Oryza sativa Japonica Group: one gene and its partners. The main gene of each other region encodes a partner of the protein of the gene in region 3 in a complex. Links are inferred from orthologs where the notes say so. Each region holds a gene or a part of one and is shown on either strand. Other genes may lie near its edges. The genes, in order: actin-related protein 6, actin-related protein 4 and SWR1 complex subunit 2.

Region 1 (4,406 bases), on a different chromosome or scaffold from region 3:
TCATAATAACTAGTAACTGAAAATCAATTAAACTGAATGTATAAATTATTATATTTAGTTGATATTTGAGAAGGTGAAGAAAACAAAAAATTCTTAAAAGGTAATTGGATGTAAATTATATGTGCAATATAATTCTTAAAGATTACATTCAATACTATAAGGTAATATCCGTAGGATTATGTAATGTTATATTGACATCGTGAAAAAAAAATCACCTAGCATATGCTTAGCCAAGTTAATGCACCAAAATACTACTTCCTCCGTTTTATGTTGTAAGACTTTCTAGTATTGCCCATATTATGTCTAGATTCATTAACATCTATATGAATGTGGACAATGCTAGAAAGTCTTACAATATGGAACGGAGGGAGTAAATTATCAAGTTCTTGTATTAGAACGCACCCACTTATCAAGTTGTTGCACTCGGACGTTCAATTCTCAACTTCTTGCACTATATCGCACCCACTTGCCAAGTTGGTGTACCATGGGTGCAATTTACTCCAATTGCAAATATGTCCATTTCAAATATATGCCATTACAATTCGTCTATTCGTAACCATGCTAATGAAATTATACAAAATTGAAATCGTGCCACTGCCGTCACATTTTCCATCAATCTCTTTTTTCCCGTTTTGTTTCTTCTTTCTTTCGTCTTCTTACCACACCAACGCATGGCGGGACCTCGGCGGCCCGGCACGCACGAATCCAATCCGATGAGTGGCGGGACCTCGGTGGCTCGACACGCACGCCGTCCAATGCACCGTGGTCTCAACCACATGCTCGTGGACGCGGTTGTCCATCACGATGACGATCTACAAGGAAGGGGATACGGGGAGAAGGGCATAGAGGAAGCGGGGCAGGCGGGGCAGAGGAGGTGAGTTATGCGGCAATGGAAGAGTTTCCCTGTCATTGATCCCGCCAGGGCTCCATCGCTGGTGGTGTCACCTCGCCTAAACTCTACCCATATCTTATGATAGAGAGAGCCCCCGGCTTTAACAGTGGAGGCGGCGGCAACGTAAAGAAGAGCAAAGATGGTGTACGACCGCCTCTTCGTGCCGCTCGCGAGACAGTGGGTAGGCGCCAGCCCCTCTCTCCCTCGTCGCGGTTGGCCTGAAGGGCTGCGCGAGCCTTCTCACGCACGGTACGGAGCAAAACAATGATTTTTTTAAGTTTAATAGAATGGTTCACTTTTAGTTTTTGAAAAATAAATTTAGGTTTTCTCTTGAAAATATTAGTTTTTTCACTTCCTATTTTCGGTTTAGAAAACTCAAAAATAAAAATTTAGAGGTGGATTATACACTTTTGTTGGTGATGCTCTTACGCTATTAGGGTGTGTTTGGATAATGGGAAAGAGGGTGGGATTAGAATTGAGAAATGAATGAAAGGTTATGATTAAATGGAAGAGGGTGAATGAACGGTTAGAATTTAAAGATATCTTTTGGTAGGTGAAAAATTATTTCCCATTAGCCAAACGCTGCCTTAGGTATTACAGTTCTAACCGCTCATATGCTCTATACTATATGTCTATATCCAACGGCCCTCCCCGATTTCCCCGAAACGCTACTACCCCTCCGCCACAGCGTCCACACCCGCGCCGCCGCCGCCCTCACCCTCGCCGCCGCGCATCCCGCGGTCCCACCGTCGCCGATTCCACCGCTGCCACGGACAACCCCGCCGCCCCTTTCCTTCCTCGCCGTGGGAGCGCCCCCCCCCTCCAGGTTGGCTAGCAGCTAGCTCCGCCGGCCGCCCTTCCCCGATGGGGGCAGCGGCGTAGGCGCCGCCATCAGCCGCCGTACGTATGTGAGCGGCGCCTGCGCACGCCTCCAGCTGGTCCGCGCGAGGTAACTGTGTGGGGTAAAATTCCTCTCTAGTCTTCGCTTTCGCCATATCGCATTTTCGAGAATACCTAATGCCGTAGTAAGCCATACGGGGGTCGTTTTATTGCTTTTATGCTTAAGTCACACACTTCGAGCAAGTCTATTGAATCTATACTCGGGTAGAAGTAATGCGCGCTCATCTCCAACGCCTATTTTGCAAAAGAAGAAGAAGAAGCAGAAGAGAGAAACAGTGGCTTTTGTACTACTCTTGCACATAGAACCCCTTCTCGACTTGCTATCAACAGTTGGTTTGAAACTTAGCATTTCTTTGTTATGCGCAGTTTTGCTGAACCAGATGCCGATGCAGTGACGATTCGTTGGCCGAGGATCGCGTTCTTATAGGCCCGATTTGCAAAGGTACTACTGCAGTGGCGGAGCTTGAGAGAGATTCTAGATGGGGCCAGCTATTATAGAGTGGAAATGTTGGTAATGGCAGAAGTAGAATTTGTAGAAGGGCTATTCATATTGTAAAATAATTTCCAAGCATGTTTTTGTTAAGAAAAAATATATGTTATACCTAAGTATAGCTGTTAAACAGGTGGAAAAGGATCACTCAAGTTATAAAAGACAACATATCAAAGTTATTGTAAATTAACAGGTTTTAAGAGAGCTATTTTATTAAGATAAAAATGTTTGTCATCCATAGGAGGAAAATGATTTAGTAAGCAATTAAACTGAAGAAAAAGAATGGACTTCTCAGGATTTGAACACCAAACTTCCAAGAAAGCATCTGCCCTCTTCACTTGCTAATCAATTGAGCAGAAAATAAATTTTCTTACTAGATACTTGTTAAGTATATATGTGTTTGCTGCCAAAGCTGAGGGGGCAACACCCAGGTTGGCCTCCATGAAGCTCCACCTCTGTACTATTAGCTGTTGTTGGAACTATATTGGTCGCATCAAGCTTCCGCCAATGTTTGCAGGGTTAAAATACTTGGTGGTCTGTCATGCTGTATGTTGATGTTATGCATTGCTTTTGGTACAACCGAGTTCCTTTTTCCTGACTGGTTCCATGGTTGGTTGAGATATGGATGCTATGTATTGTTCTTTAATGTTACACTTTAGCAAAATTTTCCCAGATTACGTAAGCAACTACTCCATCCATTTTATATTATAAGTCGTTTTGATTTTTTTCCTAGTCAAACTTTTTTTAAGTTGGACCAAGTTTATAGAAAAACATAATAGTATTTTAAACACATTATATTATCAAAATATATTCAATGTTAGATTTAATGAAACTAATTTGGTGTTTTAGATGTTGCTAATTTTTTCTAACTTATAATATGAAACGGAGGGAGTATTGATTACAAACATGATGGCTACTTCATTTGATTTTATTTAGCATTAGCTGTTTCAATCTTGGCAATTTACCATTTCCATCTGTTGTGTGGTTTTATTTATGTAGGAGTGCTTGTAAATCCAATCATACCATTTCGATTTTCATTTGACCAAGGATAGGCAAGAATAGGAGGAAAAAGGAGAGTGGCATATAATGACGGGTGGATCAGGTGTTGTGGTGCTAGACAATGGGGGTGGTCTTCTGAAGGCTGGATTTGGTGGGGACATGAATCCGACTGCTGTTGTCCCCAACTGTATGGCCAAGCCCCCTGGTTCCAAGAAATGGCTAGTTGCTGACCAGCTGCAGGCACAAGATGTTGATGTTACTGGCATGACATTGAGGCGTCCTATTGATCGTGGCTATCTCATCAATCAAGAAGTGCAACGGGAGGTGTGGGAGCGGGTTATACGCAACCTACTGCAGGTGGATCCTAACAACTCATCGTTGCTACTGGTGGAACCACAGTTCAACCCTCCAGCACTGCAGCATGCAACCGATGAGCTTGTTTTTGAGGAGCTTGGTTTCAAATCTCTTTGTGTTGCAGATGCCCCTTCCCTTGTTCACCTTTATGAGGCTAGCCGCCAGCCATCGCTGTTTCGAGCTCAATGTAGCCTTGTTGTTGACTGTGGCTTCTCTTTCACTCATGCATCTCCCGTGCTTCAAAACTTTACACTGAATTATGCTGTGCGGCGCATGGACCTTGGTGGAAAGGCCCTCACAAACTATCTCAAAGAGCTCATTTCATATCGCTCCCTTAATGTCATGGATGAAACACTCCTCATTGATGATGCAAAGGAAAAACTATGCTTTGTATCCCTTGATGTCCCTGGTGATCTTCGTCTTGCCAGGTCTGTTGCCATTCTCATCCCACCACATATGGATACATGCTTGCCTATTGTTTAGGGTTCAAATTTAACCTGATTTCAAGTTTATCTTCAAGGTCAAATGGTCCTTCACACAGAAAGTCCTGCTAAGAATGTTTTGCTTGTGTAACCAGCTTAATGAGATGTAGATAGCTTAGTATCTTATCTTTGGAACTTAGTGCTGTAGTTGACAAAGGTGGCTTTGTGTTTCATATGTATGTATGAAGGGTTGGTATTTCCTTTATTAGAAGCTAGATTTTGAAACTTTGAATTGCACTTCTGGGACAGCACAATCACTGATTGAGATGGTAATAGTTTTTCATTAAAT
Region 2 (4,275 bases), about 3.4 Mb from region 3:
TTGCATGGCAAAGATTGGCCCAGCTCAAATTTCTATAGTTATAAATGAGTTGCCAAATATTTTGGCTTCAAACAAATGGGTGCCACTTTTTATTTTTTGGTATTGCCAAGTGCCAACTACTAGAATGGTTTCTATCAAAAAAAAAAAAAAAACCTACTAGAATGGTTCAGTTTGGCTGTAAACCAAACAAACCCTATATGCCCTATGCCTCTATGTATTTGCTTGTATTGACCATTATTGTTCTAATTTTGACCATCGGTAACATTTTAATGATTAGATTACGAGTAAATTGCACCCACAGTGCATCAGCTTGGCAGGTGGGTGTAATTTAGTGTAAGAACTTGAGAAATGAGCGTTCTAGTATAACAACTTGGCATGTAGGTGCAATTTAGTATAAGAACTTTATAAGTGATCGTATAAATGCAACAACTTGCAAGATATGTACGATTTTAATAAAATAAATTAAGAAGTTATGTGGCAGTTTAATTATTGAGAGCATTTTTTTATACATACAATTTTTAAGTACTTATGTTGACAATATACTAGCGTGGATTTGGATATAAAGAAAACAAAAATTCTTAAAGGTAATTGGATGTGCAGTATAATTCTTAAAAGATTAAATTCAATATTATAAGGTGATATCCATAGGATTGCTATGTAATGACATATTAACATCGTGAGAAAAACTTACCTAGCATATGCCTAGCTATTCTTGTACTAAAACGCAACCACTTGTCAAATTGTTGCACTCGAGCGTTCAATTCTCGAGTTCTTGCACTATATTGCACCTACCCGCTAAGTTGTTGTATCGTGTGTAATTTACTTTTAGATTACGATAAATAAAAAAGAGCTAAATTGTACTTGTTTTTATGCAGAAGTTGATTTTTGTTAGGACGGTGGAGACTGTAGTTTAGTGAAAATCTAGAATGAACGTAGCTCAACTGGTTAAGTTCCTTGTGATGAAACCAGCACACTCGGGTTCAAATCCTAAATGTGACATGTGTGTTCGTATTTACGCCTAATCATTCTTTTAGTGGTAAGCGACATACCAGTTGATAGCGAGGCACCTGTGGTGATTTCATCAATCTCAATTCTCAAGATTTGCTAGCTCAGTTTACTAGAGGTGCTCGTAGAGGTAGTTTGTGTGCGTGTTGTCGGCGTATGCATTTTAACTATGTTTCAAAGAAGAAAAGAAAACTGTGATGAAGGTTGTGAAACGGAGGGAACATTGGTTGAGGTCTGAGGGCCGTATCGGACGGCTAGGATAAGCTCCAGTTAAGACGATCCGACGCGGGGGGCAATTTCGGTACAAGAAAAAAAAATCCTTCATTTTCTCTCCTCCTCTCTTCCCTTTCACTTGGCCGTCGTCTCCTCCCCCCGACCCCGCCGCCGCCGACCTCTCTCCTCCGCGCCGCCGACGAACCACCGCCGCCGAATCCCCCTCGCCGGCGGCCACCCGGATCTCCCCAGCCATGTACGGCGGCGGTAAGTTCCCCCCTCTCTCGCCCCCGTCCATCCCCGAGCTAAACCCTAAACCCTAGAGATCTGTGGCACTGGCGCTGCTTGGTTTTTTTCGCAGATGAGGTCTCGGCCATCGTCATCGACGTGGGGTCCTACAGCTGCAAGGCGGGGTACGCCGGTGATGACACCCCCAAGGCCGTCTTCCCCTCGGTGAGGCAGAATGCTTCTTCTTCTTCTTCTTCTTCTCCCCTCCTGGGTTGGCTCGCTGTAATTCTGTCTCGGAGTTGGAACTGTGTGGTCTGTGTTTTGTTGGTGAGAGTTCGTGCGGGTGGTGTCATGGAAATGATAGGGCTCTGTGCGCAATGCAATCCCACTGGCAATTTTGTGTGTTTTCTCCCCATAATTTTGAGCTGTTTTAGGTCGTTGACTTTGAATTCTGATTTGAAAAAAAAAAGAATGATGTGTTAGTGTGTGGCGTCATGATATACAGACATATGTTTATTATTTAGGTCAAGCTGTGAATTTTGCTGCGTGCATTAGTTCCTCCTAGGTCCCCAGCCACCTGATTAATGGTTTTATTCGAGCACTGGATCTTAGTCTGGGAACATGAATAACAGCAGTTTTTTTTTTAAAAAAAATGTTAGTAGCAGGCTAACTCAGATATTGGATAGTACCACAGATAAGACCTGCACTTACCTTTTGATTTTGACATATGCGTGCAAAATTATGATGTATTGACTGCATTGTTAGTTTACCTTTCAGCTTTGTCTTAGCTGCAAACCTGTGCCATTGCTCGCATAGGTAGTAGTTAGCAGTGTTGCATATGTGCACTGAGAGTCAAATGCCAAACTGAATTTTTAAAGTGCTAAAAGAATCTGCATTGTGGTTTCTGTGGAATTGCTACATGTTGGTACTAGACGTTAACTTCAAATGCTATGACAGGTGAACTTCTGGTTACTGTGTTTGTAACGGGAAGTACTTTTCTTGTGTATTATGTCAAATAGGATTGTACTCTTTCTGTCCCAAAATATAAGTATTTCTAGAGTTTTGCACGGGTATTAAGGAAGTAGGTGGAATTAAATGGGGGATATGATTTTTTTGATTGGTTGAGATGAGGAAGTAGGGGGTGAAGTTACTATATTTTGGGATGCGGTATTTTTTTGTCTTAGGTTCTACAGTATTATTTTTTAAAATTTTTTTCTTCCTTTAGTTAACAGACTTATATTGGGGTAATTTGAATTCTTGGAGTAGATTGCTAATTTCTCTTTGTTGCCGAGGAAGTGAGAAAACATATAATTTAGTGACATATAGCAAAACAATCAGCTGTAAGGTACTAAAAAGTGGTGTGTGAATCACACAGAAAAAGTGTTTTTGAGTTTCACTATTTGATGTCGCTGCTAATAGATTAGCATATTTTCTTCTCCTTTTTCTACATAACGTGGCAGTAGTTGCAAGATATGTCATTGGTTCATGGGATTATGCATCTGAGCTACCTAATGGGTAATTTGGTTTTAGAAGTTCTTACTGTGGTTGGTGCACATTCTGTTGTGTTAAGGTTGTTGGTTCAATTGAGCAAACGGGAGAAACTGATGAAGCAAAGGCAGACAAGGAGGCTGAAGCTGCATCAGATTCTAAGAATGGAGCCAAACCTATGGATGTGGACAAAGCCAAGACAAAGCGCAAATTGTATGTTGGTCAAGAATTGGAGTTCAGGAGGGATCATATGGAGGTTAGTTTATGCAGATTCTCAAGTATCAATATTGATGCTCATGATTTTGTTAACTATTGTTTACTGATTCTCTTCCTACCCAATAGGTGATTTCACCAATGAAAGATGGAACAGTTACTGATTGGGATATTGTTGACAATATATGGAATCATGCTTTCAGGTGAGTTTAACTATCTATTTGATGTAGATCTGAGTAATGTCGTGCCAAAAGTGCGCGCTGAAAGAGCTGGCCACACTTGTGGCAAAACTTGACTAGAAAATAAATATCTGACATGCGGGGCACTTGAGTAACAAGGTTTGGCACATTGCTTGTGTGGTTTGCCAAACACTTGCCAGTTGCTGCAAAAGGCCAAACATGCCTTCCTTGATTCTGGGGAAGTTTGGGATGAACCATACTCTCTATTTAACATAGTTTGCTTAGAATCTGCAACAAAGTTCATCTTCTAGGCCTCTAGGGCATCTTTTGGATGTCAACATGGTTACTGCTTTATGCCATTGCCCACCATCTTTTTACCTTACATATTAATATTGTGCTTTTCAAATATACTGATAGTGAAATTCCTTCTTACGTGTACAAACTGGATAAGGCTTTCCTTCTTGGGTTATTTACTTTTATTGGATTCTGTGGCATCTCTATTAGCTAACATTGATTAAATACTAGGATTTCCTCTATATGGTGTGGATATGCAACTATTGAAGTTTCTGCTTTGTTAGCTTTTATCTTCACACTGACTTGCTCTACATTTCAGGCAGCGGCTATTGATCAATCCTGAGGAGCATCCTATGTTGATAGCTGAACCATCTACAAACACAGGACAGCAAAGAGAGAAGTATGCCTATATGTTCTGTATTTAAATTAATTGTGTTGCTAAGTTGCGTCAAACCTGAAAAACATTGCTTGTTATATGAACTAGCTGATTTATAGCACATTTATCTTCCATGACTCTTATCAGTCATGAGAACTGTATTGGTACCAGGATTTACTGCATGCTTTTCTACTTCTCCATTTAATGTCAGAAATGTTAGTTTTTCTGTGTTTCTGTACTTCAGGAATGGACAAATATGGAATTGTTGATCACCCTGTA
Region 3 (4,266 bases):
GGCTAGAAAATAATAACAAATCGGCTTCTGTGGGATCATTTCAAATTGCCAAGTCAAAATAATGTAGCTATTTCACCAGAACTAGATGGCAAACAATAACAAGGATGTGGCAAACAGCATTTCAAGCAATGCAATGTCTAAGGATAAACACTCTGCTAATAATGTGGAGATGTTAAACAAAAGGTGCACGTGTGCACAATTTTATTTAGATCAATGCAATAAACACAGCAACAGTTTCGGCTTCAGAAAAGGAACATCAAAGGCCAATATAGGTCACTTCAAATGTGCGCTCAGAGAACATACTTGGCAGGAAGTCCAGTTACAGCACAAATAGATTTCTCTGGATCTGTAATGAAGAATATTATCATGAGAAGAGGAGGGCATATAAGTAGTATGAGCTCAATCTGTCACGGATGCTCACATTTAGTGATTACTGGCAGAGGCAAATAACAAAGAATAACCAAATGAAAGTTTGCACTTACAAGGAGCTGAGGTTGTACAAAGTTCTGACCCAAATGATGCCCCGTTGATGAATTCCAAGCGTGACTCCCCTAATTCAGCACAGAACTGATAATAAGCTATTGAGAACACCTAAGGTATTGGTTATCATAATTCATAATGTAGAAAAAAGAAGCTAGTAATTCCACATTCCAGATGCAAACAGATGCTTGATGATATTTTAATAGAGAAGTTACCATCTCTTGAGCAAAACCGAATCGTAGGACCCTCATAAACAGCTTTATGAACAACGGCTTTTTTCTTAACCTCCTCCTCTCTTGCCAATACACGTTCAAGATTTCTCAGGTTGATGATCTCTGGAAAAATATACAAAAAATGCCCCAACGTATTAATGGCAACAATTAAAGCTGGCTCGTTACAGGTCTGCAACTTTTAGAGATCAGGCAAATTACTACACAGCTTTTGGAAGAAAAGCCAAAAGAAACATAGTCTTTTACAAAGTCTTTTTTGACAAACAGCAAACTAACAAACTAAAGACAGAACTGCTCGGAATTCCAGCTAACAGGAAGCAGGTCCATACATCACGATAGCCAGAAAAAGGACCCACCCAAATTCAACAAAACCAGACCTAAAAGACAGCACTCTCTCAACAAGACAAACTCATACTCCCAAATCGTCAGGTAGCAAACTAGGCGATCGCATTTCATTCAAGGCCTGCATCATCTCTTCTTGTGAAAACTGGAAAAGGTTTATAAAAACAAAAAACATACCTGTTTCAGCTGCTTCCAACAGCATCTCTTCTTGTGTCATACGCTTTTCTTCTCCCTCCTTTTTCTTCTTAATAACAGGCTGAAGCCATTTACAAGATGAAAAGTGAGCAAATTAAACCCTCAAAATGGAAAAATGCCATGGATTGAAAAACTAATATATGAGTAACACAATATTCTTTTGCCTGGCCCATGGGCAGCCACAATGCACTAACAACAAAATTTGATACAAAGAAGCTAAGGACTCAATGTGGGCATACAACCTTCATCGTTGCTTCTTTCTCAGCACGTATTGCCTCCCTCTCAGCTTGTCTGACGATGACAGATGTTCTAGTTGATTTCCTGATGGTCTTTTCACCGGTCTCCAGTTCATCAGGAATGTCTGTTTGCTTAGATGGACTTTGCTGATCTGAATACTTGTCAGTTTTGGAATCATCTTCCAGCTTTGGGACCACCTTCTTCTTCTTCTTGGCATTGATTTTTTTCATAGTCTTCCCAGGGAATATGAGTCGCTTTTTGATAGGTAATCTGCTTCATGATTGAGTTGTGACATGAGTGTAGAACTAATATACACCATATTGTGACTTGCTCTCAACAAACACATGTACCTACCTCTCACGTACTTCCTTTTCCGGTTCATCATCAGGTTCCGACTCCTGGATGAATCCAAAGGAGTTACATCAAACAACTATGTGCAGTGCTTAGTAAGTAGAAGCAGAAGAGCAGCACACCGGTGAAAGCTAAAATGATTAGGAGCAGCATGAAGAGGGATCTCACTCACATCTTCACCAAAATCACTGTCGAATTCATCACCAGCATCCTGCTCTTCCTCGTAGTTGTCATCTTCTTCATCCTGGTAATAAATATGAGCAAACAATGAAGAATAGTATTTGTCATCCTGCTTAACCAAGCAATTGCAGCAACCAACAGCATTGACGCAAGTCGCACAATTAATTAACTAAATGGCGAACTCAACAACAACGGAAGCTATTCTAATTATCTGTCCCGAGCACACTAAAACAAGATCCAAGACCCGCTAAAAGAAATCAAGAAATGATAAGAAGAAAAGCAGCAGAATGCGGGAAGGAAGAGAGTGAGAAGAGAACCTCCTTGAGGGCGTCCTGATTCCAGAAGACCTCGTCCTGCTCAACCTCATCTTCGAGGAGCTTGGTTATCCTAGGAAACGATGACAGAATTGAATTGAGCGGCGGGCGAACTAGGTATTGCAGCCAAAGGGATAGAGCGAGCCATAGAGGATGAGGGGGAGGGAAGCGCGCACCTCTTCCCACGGGTGGCACGAGAGGCGCGGTCGAGGAGGACGGGCGGATCCTCGTCGGCGAGGTCGGCCATGGCGGCGGCGGCGGCGAGACGGCAAGAAAGTCAACGAAGAAGCAAAGGTGGGCCGCAGCGCACGTCGGCGGAGGCGGCGGCGCCGGCGAGGAAGGCCCGCGTGGGCGGCGGGTTGGCGGCGGCGGAGGTGGGCGGTGGCGGTGGCGGTGGCGGCGGCGGGTTTCGGTGAAGCGATTTGGGAAGGGAATGGGGGACGGGACTGGCTAGGATCGTTTGGGCTGGGCTGGGCCCACCTATTGGCTGGGCTCGTTTGTTAAGGGATAGTTGGGCCAGCCCAAACTATTTCAAGAAAAAGTCCAACAAATACGAGTGACATATGCACGAGAAATTTGATAATTTAACTTTTTTTTCTCAATTGTGTTTAATTGACACTTGTGAGGATAATATATGGGACCATCTGAGTGAATAAAAGTTGGTCAAGTTATCAAATAATCAAAGCTCATTTTAAGGTGTTAAATTATCAAATCTCTCAACATGCACCTTGTTTCATGATCCATCGACGACTGCAACATCTAGGAACTACCATCGTACAAACCAACTTATCTTAGAAATATCGTCGTCGTCAGGGTTTCATTCATTTCACTCCGTTCAAGTTGTGGAATGTCATTTGAAACATTAGAGCCCAAAATGATGGTAGCTACGTCTGAGCTAATAGCGAAATTTGACAAGATAGAGTTGGATATCGAAGCGGAATCGAAGGAAATTGAATCTTGCCAAAACGAACTGTGCATCGGCTGGAAACAAAGTCAGAGTTTGATTGAGCCGATATGGCAAATGGTCGATACAGCTATACTTGGGCTCGGGTTGGGCTTCGATTGAGATAACCGTCATTGCCGTTTAGGGATTGAGCTCATTTAAGGGTGTGTTTGGTTCACGGTCAAGGTGGGCAGCCCCACCCCTCAAAAGGCAGTGGGCAGCCCCCTCATGCGCCGCCCGGTGAATCTGGCAGCTGGACAACCGGACACCCCGGCCGACCCAACTCCATCACGCCCACCCTCGCCACCGGTGCCTAGGAAAGGGTCGAGCTATACTACAAGTCAAGCAGTTACCCACTCTCGCTTGTGGCAAGCACGGTAAGTCTCACAGGGTTTCCCGTGAACCGGTCCTTAACTGCCATGGGTGCGACCAGCAAAACCATGCACCCACAGCCCACCATTCAGTGTATTTTAATTAACTAACACCATTGCGGTGGCACCAATCCAAAGCTATGCTAATAGTCAAAGTCTATGCAATAATATGATCCCCATTTGTGTACTAGTTGAACTAAGCACGGCAAAGCATTTCCTAAACCAATATCTAATCATTTTGATACCCAAGTTATCAATGGCATAAGGTAAACAATATATGGCTGAGTAATAGAACCCATCCCACGTGACATTGTAAAAGAATGCAACATTTAATAGAAATGCGGGATATTTGTAAATTGGGTACAATATGATCAAATGTAATGCATGACTTGCCTTGCTCTCGCACTGATGAGACCTCAGCAACGTCTTCGAGAACCCGCGGATCGACGAAACGGCCAAAATCTACGCGACAAACAAAACACACAAGCAAAACATGCGATAAGACTACTGAAACAGGAAACAAAAGCATTTTTAGTGGATTCTAAGGATTTTTATGAATTTACTGAGAGTTGAATGGACTTAAACGGAGCTCGGATGAATTACTTATGAATTTTAGAAGATAA

Evidence for each region.
Region 1: SWR1 complex subunit 2 (region 3) and actin-related protein 6 share a complex: the UniProt entries of both Arabidopsis thaliana proteins name them as parts of the SWR1 chromatin-remodeling complex. The link is inferred for Oryza sativa Japonica Group from reciprocal best matches to the Arabidopsis thaliana genes SWC2 and ARP6.
Region 2: SWR1 complex subunit 2 (region 3) and actin-related protein 4 share a complex: the UniProt entries of both Arabidopsis thaliana proteins name them as parts of the SWR1 chromatin-remodeling complex. The link is inferred for Oryza sativa Japonica Group from reciprocal best matches to the Arabidopsis thaliana genes SWC2 and ARP4.

What each region holds. Positions count from the first base shown.
Region 1 is NC_089035.1:9,333,449-9,337,854, reverse strand, and holds the start of actin-related protein 6, read left to right. Parts: upstream 1-1,561; 5' UTR 1,562-1,841; exon of another isoform or gene 1,842-2,076; intron 2,077-2,158; 5' UTR 2,159-2,234; intron 2,235-3,281; 5' UTR 3,282-3,368; coding exon 3,369-4,063; intron 4,064-4,406. UniProt on the Arabidopsis thaliana protein: Component of the SWR1 complex which mediates the ATP-dependent exchange of histone H2A for the H2A variant H2A.F/Z leading to transcriptional regulation of selected genes (e.g. FLC) by chromatin remodeling. Binds to the promoter region of FLC chromatin.
Region 2 is NC_089042.1:2,095,527-2,099,801, forward strand, and holds the start of actin-related protein 4, read left to right. Parts: upstream 1-1,359; 5' UTR 1,360-1,472; coding exon 1,473-1,485; intron 1,486-1,579; coding exon 1,580-1,671; intron 1,672-3,016; coding exon 3,017-3,190; intron 3,191-3,276; coding exon 3,277-3,350; intron 3,351-3,939; coding exon 3,940-4,020; intron 4,021-4,275. UniProt on the Arabidopsis thaliana protein: Involved in several developmental processes including organization of plant organs, flowering time, anther development, flower senescence and fertility, probably by regulating the chromatin structure.
Region 3 is NC_089042.1:5,452,289-5,456,554, forward strand, and holds the start of SWR1 complex subunit 2, read right to left. Parts: upstream 2,802-4,266; 5' UTR 2,577-2,801; coding exon 2,506-2,576; intron 2,403-2,505; coding exon 2,333-2,402; intron 2,080-2,332; coding exon 2,008-2,079; intron 1,883-2,007; coding exon 1,839-1,882; intron 1,755-1,838; coding exon 1,490-1,754; intron 1,309-1,489; coding exon 1,230-1,308; intron 816-1,229; coding exon 696-815; intron 552-695; coding exon 483-551; intron 347-482; coding exon 304-346; intron 1-303. UniProt on the Arabidopsis thaliana protein: Component of the SWR1 complex which mediates the ATP-dependent exchange of histone H2A for the H2A variant H2A.F/Z leading to transcriptional regulation of selected genes (e.g. FLC) by chromatin remodeling.